3 linked regions of the Bombyx mori genome follow. The protein of the gene in region 2 interacts with the protein of the main gene of each other region in a pairwise test. Links are inferred from orthologs where the notes say so. Each region holds a gene or a part of one and is shown on either strand. Other genes may lie near its edges.

Evidence for each region.
Region 1: the proteins of timeless (region 2) and Per interact in a two-hybrid assay, tested with the Drosophila melanogaster proteins (5 studies listed by BioGRID). The link is inferred for Bombyx mori from reciprocal best matches to the Drosophila melanogaster genes tim and per.
Region 3: the proteins of timeless (region 2) and cry1 interact in a two-hybrid assay, tested with the Drosophila melanogaster proteins (5 studies listed by BioGRID). The link is inferred for Bombyx mori from reciprocal best matches to the Drosophila melanogaster genes tim and cry.

What each region holds. Positions count from the first base shown.
Region 1 is NC_085107.1:12,512,488-12,516,148, forward strand, and holds part of Per (period), read right to left. Parts: intron 2,310-3,661; coding exon 2,061-2,309; 3' UTR 1-2,060. UniProt on the Drosophila melanogaster protein: Essential for biological clock functions. Determines the period length of circadian and ultradian rhythms; an increase in PER dosage leads to shortened circadian rhythms and a decrease leads to lengthened circadian rhythms.
Region 2 is NC_085110.1:8,701,039-8,704,699, reverse strand, and holds part of timeless, read right to left. Parts: intron 298-3,661; coding exon 99-297; intron 1-98. UniProt on the Drosophila melanogaster protein: Required for the production of circadian rhythms. The biological cycle depends on the rhythmic formation and nuclear localization of the TIM-PER complex. Light induces the degradation of TIM, which promotes elimination of PER.
Region 3 is NC_085123.1:13,775,995-13,779,655, forward strand, and holds part of cry1 (cryptochrome 1), read left to right. Parts: intron 1-2,115; 5' UTR 2,116-2,150; coding exon 2,151-2,280; intron 2,281-3,046; coding exon 3,047-3,193; intron 3,194-3,661. UniProt on the Drosophila melanogaster protein: Blue light-dependent regulator that is the input of the circadian feedback loop. Has no photolyase activity for cyclobutane pyrimidine dimers or 6-4 photoproducts.

The sequences.
Region 1 (3,661 bases), on a different chromosome or scaffold from region 2:
CGAGTTTGTTTATTCTTAATGCTCCAGTTAGGATCGGTGGTAAAATTAAGAATTACTAATAAAAAATGCATAATAAAAACAACAACAATTAAAAAAAAATTTTTGAGTTATTTTACGCAGGACGTTAACCCGTAAACAGGATATAAAAAATAAAATAGGACGCATCAAAACAAAAACAATAAAAGGATTAATCGTTAAGCACTTTGACATCTCGACTAAATAGGGCATTTACTGTATTTATTACCTTTAGAAATAAACATTAAAAATAAAAAACAAAAAAAGCACACTAAGTAAATAAAATTTGAACACAATATGTATGTAAAATGAATATATAAAGTTGGAAACGCATCCGCAATTTATTATTTATGTGTCAACGAATGAAAGCGCCATCTATCGTTATTTGATGGTTTTCTAACAGAAAGGTACCTTTGTGTGCCAGAAATAACTGCAACGTGTTTTATCCCAATAGAATAAACGATTTAGGAGCGCACAAAGCACAAACAAAGAGAAATACAAACAGTAATTATCTTTTGTTTCGTCTACCTATATTATACAGCTGTCTCAAGAATACAAGTGCGAATGAAGTTTAAAATGCTCCTAAACAGAGAAACAAATCTCGACTGAAAACAAACATGGCAATTACATTATTTCACCTGTCAATTTTAATAGAATTCATTATTGATTGAATTAAGATTTTATAAACACCCATTATAACTATTCTTAAGATATATATACAGAGATATATATATTTAAGGTCTGCTTGCCTATTGTCTCTAACAGGTATATTTATAAAATGTATATACATAGACATAACATATATATATTATTAATATATTATTTATCACAGTTAAAACCGGTGTTGTGTATTTAAAGCAAAATTTTCATAAAATATTTTTCAAACTGAATGAGCAAATTTAGTGAGAAACCTATAATATACATAATTAATTACAGCTATTTATATTAATGTAGACATTAAAATGCAGCGAATTATATCGCAGAAATGTTCTAATTTACATCAACACATAGAATATTTAAAGACAAGAAAATCGAGTCTGCATTCATGTTGCAACTCCAAAGCGTCTACAAACATTTTTTACAAATCAAACTGTGTCCCTACAAACATTTAATGTAATTAAATTACACAAAGGCGCATACGCGTTTCATAATACGTGTTTTCCTTTGAATCGATCATAAAATCGATTTAGATATGATCCAGAGGAGTATATTAAAAAGATAGACATCAAAGAGGTTGATATCAAAAACCCTTTAAAAAAGTCATGTTCGTGGCCAGTTTGCACGCTATACCACAGACAAAGGATAAACAAGACAAGCCATGCACTAACGTTGACAATCGTAAAGATGCATTGCAAGTGCTAGTCGCATATTATTCGTGGTTCAAAACCGACGCTAGATCAAATCGGGATCAGAGGCCTGCAAGCCTCCGAGGGTCGAGAAGAAAAATAATACAGCACTTAATAGCTTGAGTACAAAAAGATATATCAAGTTTTAGGAGACCGCTGTAAATAAGCATTTGTGCGCCGCCCTGCGCCCGGGCGTTCTCGTTGATGATGATATTAATTTATCCCTAATGGGAAAGGCAAAGGACTTTAGTCCATACAGCCAGGTCTTCTTCTTGGTAATAATTGGAGAATTTTGGCAGTTTTAAAGGCGGAAGCCACGTCTTCATTGTTGGGCGTTCGTTGATCAGAGCATCAGCTGTTTTTGATTTTATGTTTCATTGCTGGGTTTTTTTTTTGTAAAGTACTTAATGTATTTTTAATGAAACTAACGTTTCATTTAGCTGCACTAATATGATGGAGCGTAAATATATAAATATAATATTAACAAAACGCTTTAAAAATATGATATTTTTTTTAAATCATGATCTATTTTTTTCCGTCCTATCATCTAAGGTGTCATTTGTACTATCGTCTGTCTTCGTTTTCGGAAGCGATTTCCTAACACCCAGTATAATCATTGCAATATATAATAATTGCAAAAAAGTAATGTCGTAATTCTTTTGTACCTCGACAACACGAAGTGGTAGAAATACTGTTCGACTAGGACTCGGACTGATTGGCTGTCGGTATCTCTTGTATCTCTTCAGAAGAAGGAGGTGGGAAGGGAGCGTTCTCTTCATATATCATAACCAATTTGCTGTATTCCCGTTTCCTCTTGGACGAGGTTGTTGTCTCTTCACCGGAACTGCTGGAACTGGTGATACCCTCCTCGAGGGTGAGTCGCGCGGCGACACCTTCCAACTGAAGGTCCAGGTACAGCTGACCAAGTTGCTCGTTCACTAGTGACGGCTGGAATACAGGTTGGTTTACAATTACCCACTAATAGAGTAAGATCCCAGGGCCCCCAGACGTCACCTATTTTCTAACGAACAAAATGTGGCCGATTGCGTAGTGTTAGTATGTACTAAGAATGCATGCCTACCTGCTAGCGTGCTTAGACGGCTAATATAGGTTTTAAAATAGTTGTCTGGTGGACATATTATTATATAAAAATCAGCTTTCAGAATTTACGTGAAGTTATTTTGGGAGCTTTAAAGCGTCTGCAAAGCAATGCGGCCGACGGAAAGTGTCCTCGGAGTATTGGCGACATACTTTTAAGGACATTGGCCAAAATATACGTAAAAATCAGCTTTCAGAAAATACGTGAAGTAGATCATGATTTTATGTATCCTAAGTAACTGATATTTTTTTTTTTTATTGCCCTTGTAGGCAGACGAGCATACGGCCCACCTGATGGTGAGTGGTTACCGTCGCCCATGGACTTCAGCAATGCCAGGGGCAGAGCCAAGCCGCTGCCTACCGCTTAATACTCTCCACAAGCCTCTTTTAAAGAAGGACATATCATAGCGCTCGGGAAACACCGTGGAGGGGAGCTCATTCCATAGCCGGATGGTACGTGGCAAAAAATACCTCTGGAAACGCCCTGTCGATGACCGCAGTGGCTCCAGGTAGTATGGATGAACTCAACTCCGGTGGCGGGCGGTGCGATGGTAAAAACGAGATGCCGGTATCATCTCGAACAATTCCTCAGAGCACTCCCCATGGAACATTCGGTACAAAATACAAAGGAAACCGAAGTCCCTCCGCAGACCCAAAGGTTCCAAACGATCCGCGAGAATGGGATTATCGACGATTCGAACGGCCCTCCTCTGTATGGAGTCAAATGGAAGAAGCTGGTATTTGGGAGCCCCGGCCCAGAGATGGGAGCAGTACTCCACGCGAGGCCGGAATTGTGCTTTATAAAGCAAAAGCCTTTGTCCAGGCGTGAAGTACCCCTTCGCTCTGTTGAGGACTCCCAGCATTTTGGACGCCAACTTGGCTTTGCCTTCCAAATGACTCCGAAATTGGACATCACTCGAAATGTCGACCCCAAGTATCCCGATACTCGCGGAAGGTTGCAGGGATACTCCTTGGAATTGCGGCGCCATGACAAAGGGGTCCTTCTTCGCAGTGAACGCGCAAACTTGTGTCTTCAACGGGTTGAATTTAACTAAGTTCGATTCACCCCACTCGGAGACTCGCCCCAGAGAGTTCTCCACTTCAGACACAAGTTTTGATCGTCTCTCTTGCACCACGCTCCGAGAAAGACTCTGATGGCCGATATATCGCGCATCCCCCGTGCCGTCATCCGCATAGCAATG
Region 2 (3,661 bases):
ACAATTTGTAAAATTGCTATATGTTGTGAACATGTTCCTTTTGTGTAAGAACAAGTTAGTTCGTGGAAAAATGATGAAATATGACCATAAAAACTTACATCGCAAATTTCGAATTCCGATTTCCAAATCGAAGTGAACGTCTTAAGTATCTTAGGTTGGAACAACGTTATCAGGCTTTCTAGTTCGCCTCCCGCGTGGTGCATTACCGTGAAGATACAGTCGTTCACAAACTCTCCGTTACTGGCGTAATCCTCTAGCAGCAACCCGTATTGGTACATTATTTCGGGCGTAGCGAATCTATAGACGGTTCAAAATTATCAGTTTGTAGATAGCTTATGATACTGAGGTAATTTACGGCAACTGAAGTTTTTATTTTATTGCATAGATAGATGGATGAGCTCACAGCCCACCTGGTGTTAAGTGGTTACTGGAGCCCATAGACATCTACAACGTTAATGCGCCACCCACCTTAAGATATAAGTTCTAAGGTCTCAGTTTTTACAGTAAAACAGCTGCCCCACCCTTCAAACTGAAATGCATTACTGCTTTACGGCTAAAATAGACAAGGTGGTTGTAATCTAACCGCGCGGACCCACAAAACGTCCTACCACCAGTAAAAATCCTGGTAAATATCAGTAAATATAAAGATCGTGCTAAGAACACGTTAAATAATAAATAAATAATACTATACAATAATTAATTAAATACTGGGTGAGTTTATATAAAAAAAATATCGAATTTATTTTTTGTTTCTTTTCAGGTGACTAAGAGTGATAGTTAGTTGTCTTTACTAATTTAAGATGATTCTTTATCACTTTTAAATATGTTTTTATACTACTTTAAATTCTTCCCACATTACGTTTCGCACTTATCACGAAATGGTACATGAAGATATTAGAGATCTCTTAGTACTTTTATGGTTGGATTCGTGGTATGAGTTGTCAATAACTTCAACAATGCTATTTCTCATAATAGATAAAATTATAAAGTACCAAAAAATATATATTTTTTCGGTGAAGTCGCTAATAGTGCTTCCTTATCCATACAGTTCAACACAATGTTATGGAATGATATGTTTTGTGAGACCTTGATAAGCTTTGCCCTTGGGGAAACATAGCAGTCAAATCACGGAGCCCAAGTAGAGTAACCATAAATTATGCTAAATCAAACAAAATATTAGACTTTAATTAACTATTAATTAGGCAACCAATTAATTGTGATTGGCAGTGCTCCACGTCAGTCTTAGGTAACTTTATTGGAAAAGCATGTTTCCGCTTATTATAAAAATTCACCCATTATACCAATACAGAATGTGTACGTTTAATAAAGTAACTAGCTTTCCTTTGCTTGCGTGGAGTGAAAAGAACTGATAAAAAATATATTATTTCTTTGTATCCCTAACTATATACAAAAAAATTGGTCTAAAATAGTACATGACCAAACGTCATGGAAACATAAAAAATCGACCTAGGTAATTTTATTTTTGTGTCAGTTCCAACATCTAACGATATAAATTTTTCCAGGAACCTATAAATGACGATAACTTAATTGGGTTCCAAATTTGTTTATTTTATCGACAAGTGAAAACTAAATGGGAACTGGTTAAGTAGTAAGTAGTAGCGAACAAACAAACCGATTGAAAATAATTCTATTATGGTTTATGTTCTATTAATCGTCTTTAATTACCCTTTCTATTATTTTTTTACTTATCTTCAATGTACAGGCACACTATACTTAGTCTGGCCATAAATACTGTTTTTTTTTTTTTTTTTTTTTTTTTCTTTTTGGACCCAACACCAAGTGTTATTTGCCACTTTCAAAATAAAGGTTAGGAAGCAAAAAGCAAATCAGAAAATATAAGTTATATAAGGTTTAGGCAGGAAAATTGGATTAGGATTAATATAATTAGGAAGAATAAATAATATATATAATTATAATTTTAGTTTAAAACTGTTGAGGAATAAGATAATAATTTTATAAATAACTGGGTCTACTGTATGTAATAAATAAGGTACAGATATAGGGAAAGGAATACTAAGTGATGATAAAGAACTATATAGAAGTGAATGATCAAAAAGGGGACATGAAAGAATAATGTGATTTAAATCGCCAATGTCCGCACCGCATTCACACTTATTGCTATCCAGCACTCCGATCGTCGCTAGATGAGCCGGACTACATGTGTGGCCTAATCTCATCCGTATCAAACTGGAAGTCTCATGGCGTTTAAAATTATATTTGTAGAACCATGGTTTGGAAGGAATGGTTGGTTGTACCCTTCGGTAATATTTCGCTTTATCGCCATTATACCACTGTGCACTCCAAGCATTATTCAAATATGTTTTAGGGAGGCTAACTAAATCATGACTATAATTTTTGAAACAATAAATATCACCACAATTGATAGCCTCGTTTGCAATTCCATCAACTATTTCATTTCCTTTAATTCCGCAATGGCTAGGTATCCATACAAATGATACTGTAAGATTTTGATCCATACATCTCATTAACAATTTTCTGCAGTCTAAGAGAATAGGGTAAATAGGTTGAGATTTAAAAGGAAATTTTGCAAGAGCCTGTAAAGCACTCTTTGAATCGGTTAGTATTAATGTTTTCTTTATTTTAAATATCAAAATGTATTCTATGGCCTTGTATATTCCAAAACATTCACCAGTGAACACTGATGTTTCAGATGGTAATTTTATCTTTTCAACTATTTTTGATTGCGAATGATAGACTCCTACACCAACACAACCTTGAGGGTGTTTAGAAGCATCTGTATATATATGGTTATAGTCATTCCAATCTTGGTCTATTACGAAATTAAAGTTAGTATTTGGTTGCGGTTGGTACTTAGAAACACCCATGTCAAGATGAATATCCGGCTTTAAAATCAATGCCTTATAGTTTACACAAAATAGACGGAAAATATGAGAGTGATGAGTTGGAGTTTGAATAGACAAATATTTTCTATAGCTAATTATTAAACATGGTAACCGTTTATGTTTCCAAAATGAAGAGGATTCTATGAGCTCATTTAGAGTTTTAAGTTTGGTAATAATGTGATTATTTTGGATTTGTAGGGATTTGAAAACGAATTTATCCGATAAATATTGACGTCTCAAATGAAGAGGAGGATCAACACATTCTACCTGTAATGCTGTAACAGGACTAGATTTCATGGCTCCAGTGATAATTCGGAGTGCTTTAGACTGTATAGAGTCTAGTTTTTTGAAAGCATTCACATCCCCTGGTTGAAGTAAAAAAGTACCATAATCTAAAACTGATCTTACTATGGCATTATATAAAAGTTTTAAATTGAATGGGTGGGCACCCCACCATACACCGGCAAGAGAACGCAAGATATTCATATTACTCAAACACTTGTTTGTAATGTAATTACAATGTTGAATTCCATTCAATTTTGAATCTAAAATTAAACCTAAAAATTTAACATGACTATTTACAGAAATTAATTCATTCTCATACAATATATTAATTGGAGGAAGAGAACGTTTTCTAGAGAATACAACAATAGAACTTTTGGAGGCAGAAAGGGAAAGTCCATTATTATCTAACCAAGATTTAAGAGTTAGAAATGAATTCCTAAGGGATAAGCAAGCCTTATGTATGTCTTTATTGCAAGTGTACATAAGGAGGT
Region 3 (3,661 bases), on a different chromosome or scaffold from region 2:
TGTTTCGGGTTCGTGCGCGTATATCCAGGATTCGTCACCTGATATAATGTTGTATACAGCATTTGAGGATCCTGCGTGGAATCTTTCGAGAGTTCTGACGCACCAAGTAACGCGAGCCGCTTTTTGCTCTTCACAGAGCGAATGCGTTATCCATCGGGAAAACATTTTTTTTACACCTAATTGTTCATGTAAGATTATTTGTATTTGACTCATGCCAATGTCTAAAGTTGCCTGAATTTCGCGGTATGTCACATGTCGATCTTCCTCAATCAGCTTACGCACAGCATCAACGTTTTCTTGGGTGACTGCAGTTTTTGGACGACCTTGACGGGGATCATCACTGAGCTTGACACGTCCACGTTGAAACTCAGCAAACCAGCGATAAATTGTGGTTTTGGATGGGGCTTCATCACCAAATGCAGAAATCATCCGGTCAACACACTGTTTTTGTGTTAAACCACTTCGAAAGTCATAATAAATCATCGCTCTTGAATTTTCTCGAGTCAATTCCATTTTCTCAACGACTAAACAAGTTTGACAAAACCTCGTGACAAGACCGAGAATCTTTTTTTTAAATAAATAAATGGTATTCGATTTTTAAAACCAAGGAGTTTTCAATTAAAAAGATTTTAATATGACAGGAACAGTGGAAATATTCCATTCCCGATACTTTTAGTGCAGCCTAGTAATCCGACTTATCAGTTAATTGAAAATGTTTAATATAACATTTTTCACAAGATCGTGACTGTTAGTTATAATATTGTTTTGTAAGTGAGCCAAGTGTTTATAAAACATTTCTTATCTAACATCAACAAGGTATGTAATGCGGTAATTTTATAGAATCACGTGTGGCTCGATACGTTTAATGACAGACCGCAACTATTGGTTTTGTTTCTTCACAATTTGCACGTTCGTTTTAAAAGGCTTCTTCGAGTAAACTATATAGGCCGGTTATCATATTTTCTCGATCTTTAATTAAGCGCGGCTTTGTCCTCGTAAATCTAGGCGTCTTTAAGATAAAATAAGTACATTATAGTGTTAAGCAAATTACCATGGCGAATTCTATGATTTGATTTGATGATTTTTAGCGTCTCTATAGAGTATTAGCCAAGCCCGGTCAGATTTGCCGATTTTTATTTGACTTCGATCCGATCGCTATAAAAAATAACAGGATCTCCTGGCCTGCTAGCCAATCTCAAGATGTGATGAAAATTCCATCGAAATCAGCCCAACTTTATCGATTTAAAAAAGTGTTGTTTTTTTCGTGACAAAAAGTACCAAAAAGTCATGCCGATTTACTCAGTACTCAGTAACTGCTTCGTTATTGCGTAAATAAACAGATCGATATTATAGATTTACAACACCGTTATTATAATTCCTGTAAGTGTAAGCTATTGGTATGTACATAATTATAGCTACGTCACAAACGAAACGACCTCAATACGAACGGCTTCTTAATAAAACGATCGAATTTCAATTGGAAATTTTCTGTCTTGTTACTCGCAGTCGGATAAGTTTTAAAAAATATTATTTGTCCTCCGAAATATTCGATGTATATACTTAACGAAATTGATTTTGTTTTTGATCGAATTTGTATTATGACTGTGCTGATACATAAAAACAGCAGTCCACGTTAAGAATGAACTAGAATGATTTCAATTCATGTAAAAATTTTGCATTTTTTTTTCCTATCTATTCTAGTAACCTCAAGGGATTATTCTAGATTCGCCGAATTACTAGGTGAGCTCACGGGGCTCAAACCTGATGACGTTGCTAACACGAACCCTAGCAAGAGTCGTGCTTCGCAGAATCTACCACCGGATCGGAAACGCGAACCACTGAGAAGATCCGGCGAGGAACTCAGTGGGCTGTGTCTGGGTTAATTTATTCGCCGAGCCCTCCGACGCAAGCGACGGGTTCGATGAAAACGATGACCGGGTTTTTTGCATAAGCACGCAATCACACATTGATAAGTGCTCAATAATCACTCAGCGATATATTTTCATTGTTAACATCACTAGCGGCAAATACGCATAAATCACTTGTTAATTATAAGACCTGAGAGGAGAATCTCGGAGAATTTGTAAATTTGTATGGGTGATATCTTCTTTGCAGATTTCTAAACGAATAATTGTAAGGGGATACTAAAGATGCTTGGCGGTAGCGTTCTGTGGTTCCGTCACGGGCTGCGTCTCCACGACAATCCGTCTCTTCATTCGGCGTTGGAAGAAACGAGCGGCCCTTTCTTTCCCATTTTCATTTTTGACGGGGAAACTGCTGGTGAGTTTCTATTTTTTTATTGCTTAGACGGGTCGACGAGCTCATCTGATGTTAAATTGTTACTGGAGCCGATAGACATCTACAACGTAAATGCGCCACCCACCTTAAGATATAAGGTTCTAAGGTATAGTTACAACGGCTGCCCCACCCTTCAAACCGAAACGCATTGTACCTTTCACGACAGAAAATAGGCGGGGTGGTGGTACCTACCTGTGTGGACTTACACGAGGTCCTACCACCAGTCGGCGCTTTGTATTTTACTAGTCTTGTACTCTTAATTGATAACGTATAAAATATCATATCGGGCTTAATTATATGGAAACACCACTACCCGCCCGGTTTTACATGCATTCTAATATCCGGATGAATGGAATATATACTGGGTGTTATGAGACCGCTTCCGAAAACGAAGATAGACGATAGTCCTAATGACACCTTTGATGGATGGGACGGAAAAAAATCGGTCCTGATTAAAAAAAAACATTTTTTAAAAATGTTTTAATAGCATTATTTACCCTCCATCATTTTAGTATAGCTAAATGAAACTATAGTTTCATAAAATATACATTACTTTACTCAAAGAAAAGCCAGCAATGAAACACAAAATTAAAACCAGCTGATGCTCGGATCAACGAACGCCCGGGCGCGGCGTTTCTTTTACACGCACACAGGTGCGGCACGGCGGGGGCGCGGCGTTTCGTTTTAGGAAGCGGTCTTCTAACAGCCAGTATTTGAGAAATTACTGACTATATTTTACATTCAATAGGAACGAAAGTGGTCGGGTACAACCGAATGCGGTACTTGCTAGAAGCGTTAGATGATTTGGACAAGCAATTCAAGAAGTACGGCGGAAGATTACTCCTTGTTAAAGGGAAACCCAGTGCTGTGTTCCGCAGACTCTGGGAAGAATTTGGTAAGTGGCATACCGAAAACTCAGTCACATATTTAGGCAAGCTGAGCGCCGTGAGCTTGTCTACTTGGCAAAGCTGGTATGACCCATCGAGACTACCAACATAGGTAGAAGAAATCAGTAATATTTGGTGTTCCTTTTTTCTTTTCCTACCTATTCGCTGGTAGCTTAAGAGGCTATTTATTTATTTATTTATTTATTTGGGAAACAAACAGTACAATACAAAACATACAATATTTAAAAAAAATTTAGCTAAAACAATAACCAAATATGTTTCCACAATCAAAATGCTATTCCAGCTATGCCCAGACGTGTAACTGAGCTTACGGGCTCAACCTGAGAGAACTTGCTAACACTAACCCTAGCAAGAGCAGTGCTTCGCAGAATCTACCACCGTATCGGAATCGCGACCCATTGAGATCCGGCGAGAAACTCAGTGGGCTGTGTCTATGGGTTAGTTCGCTCGTCGAA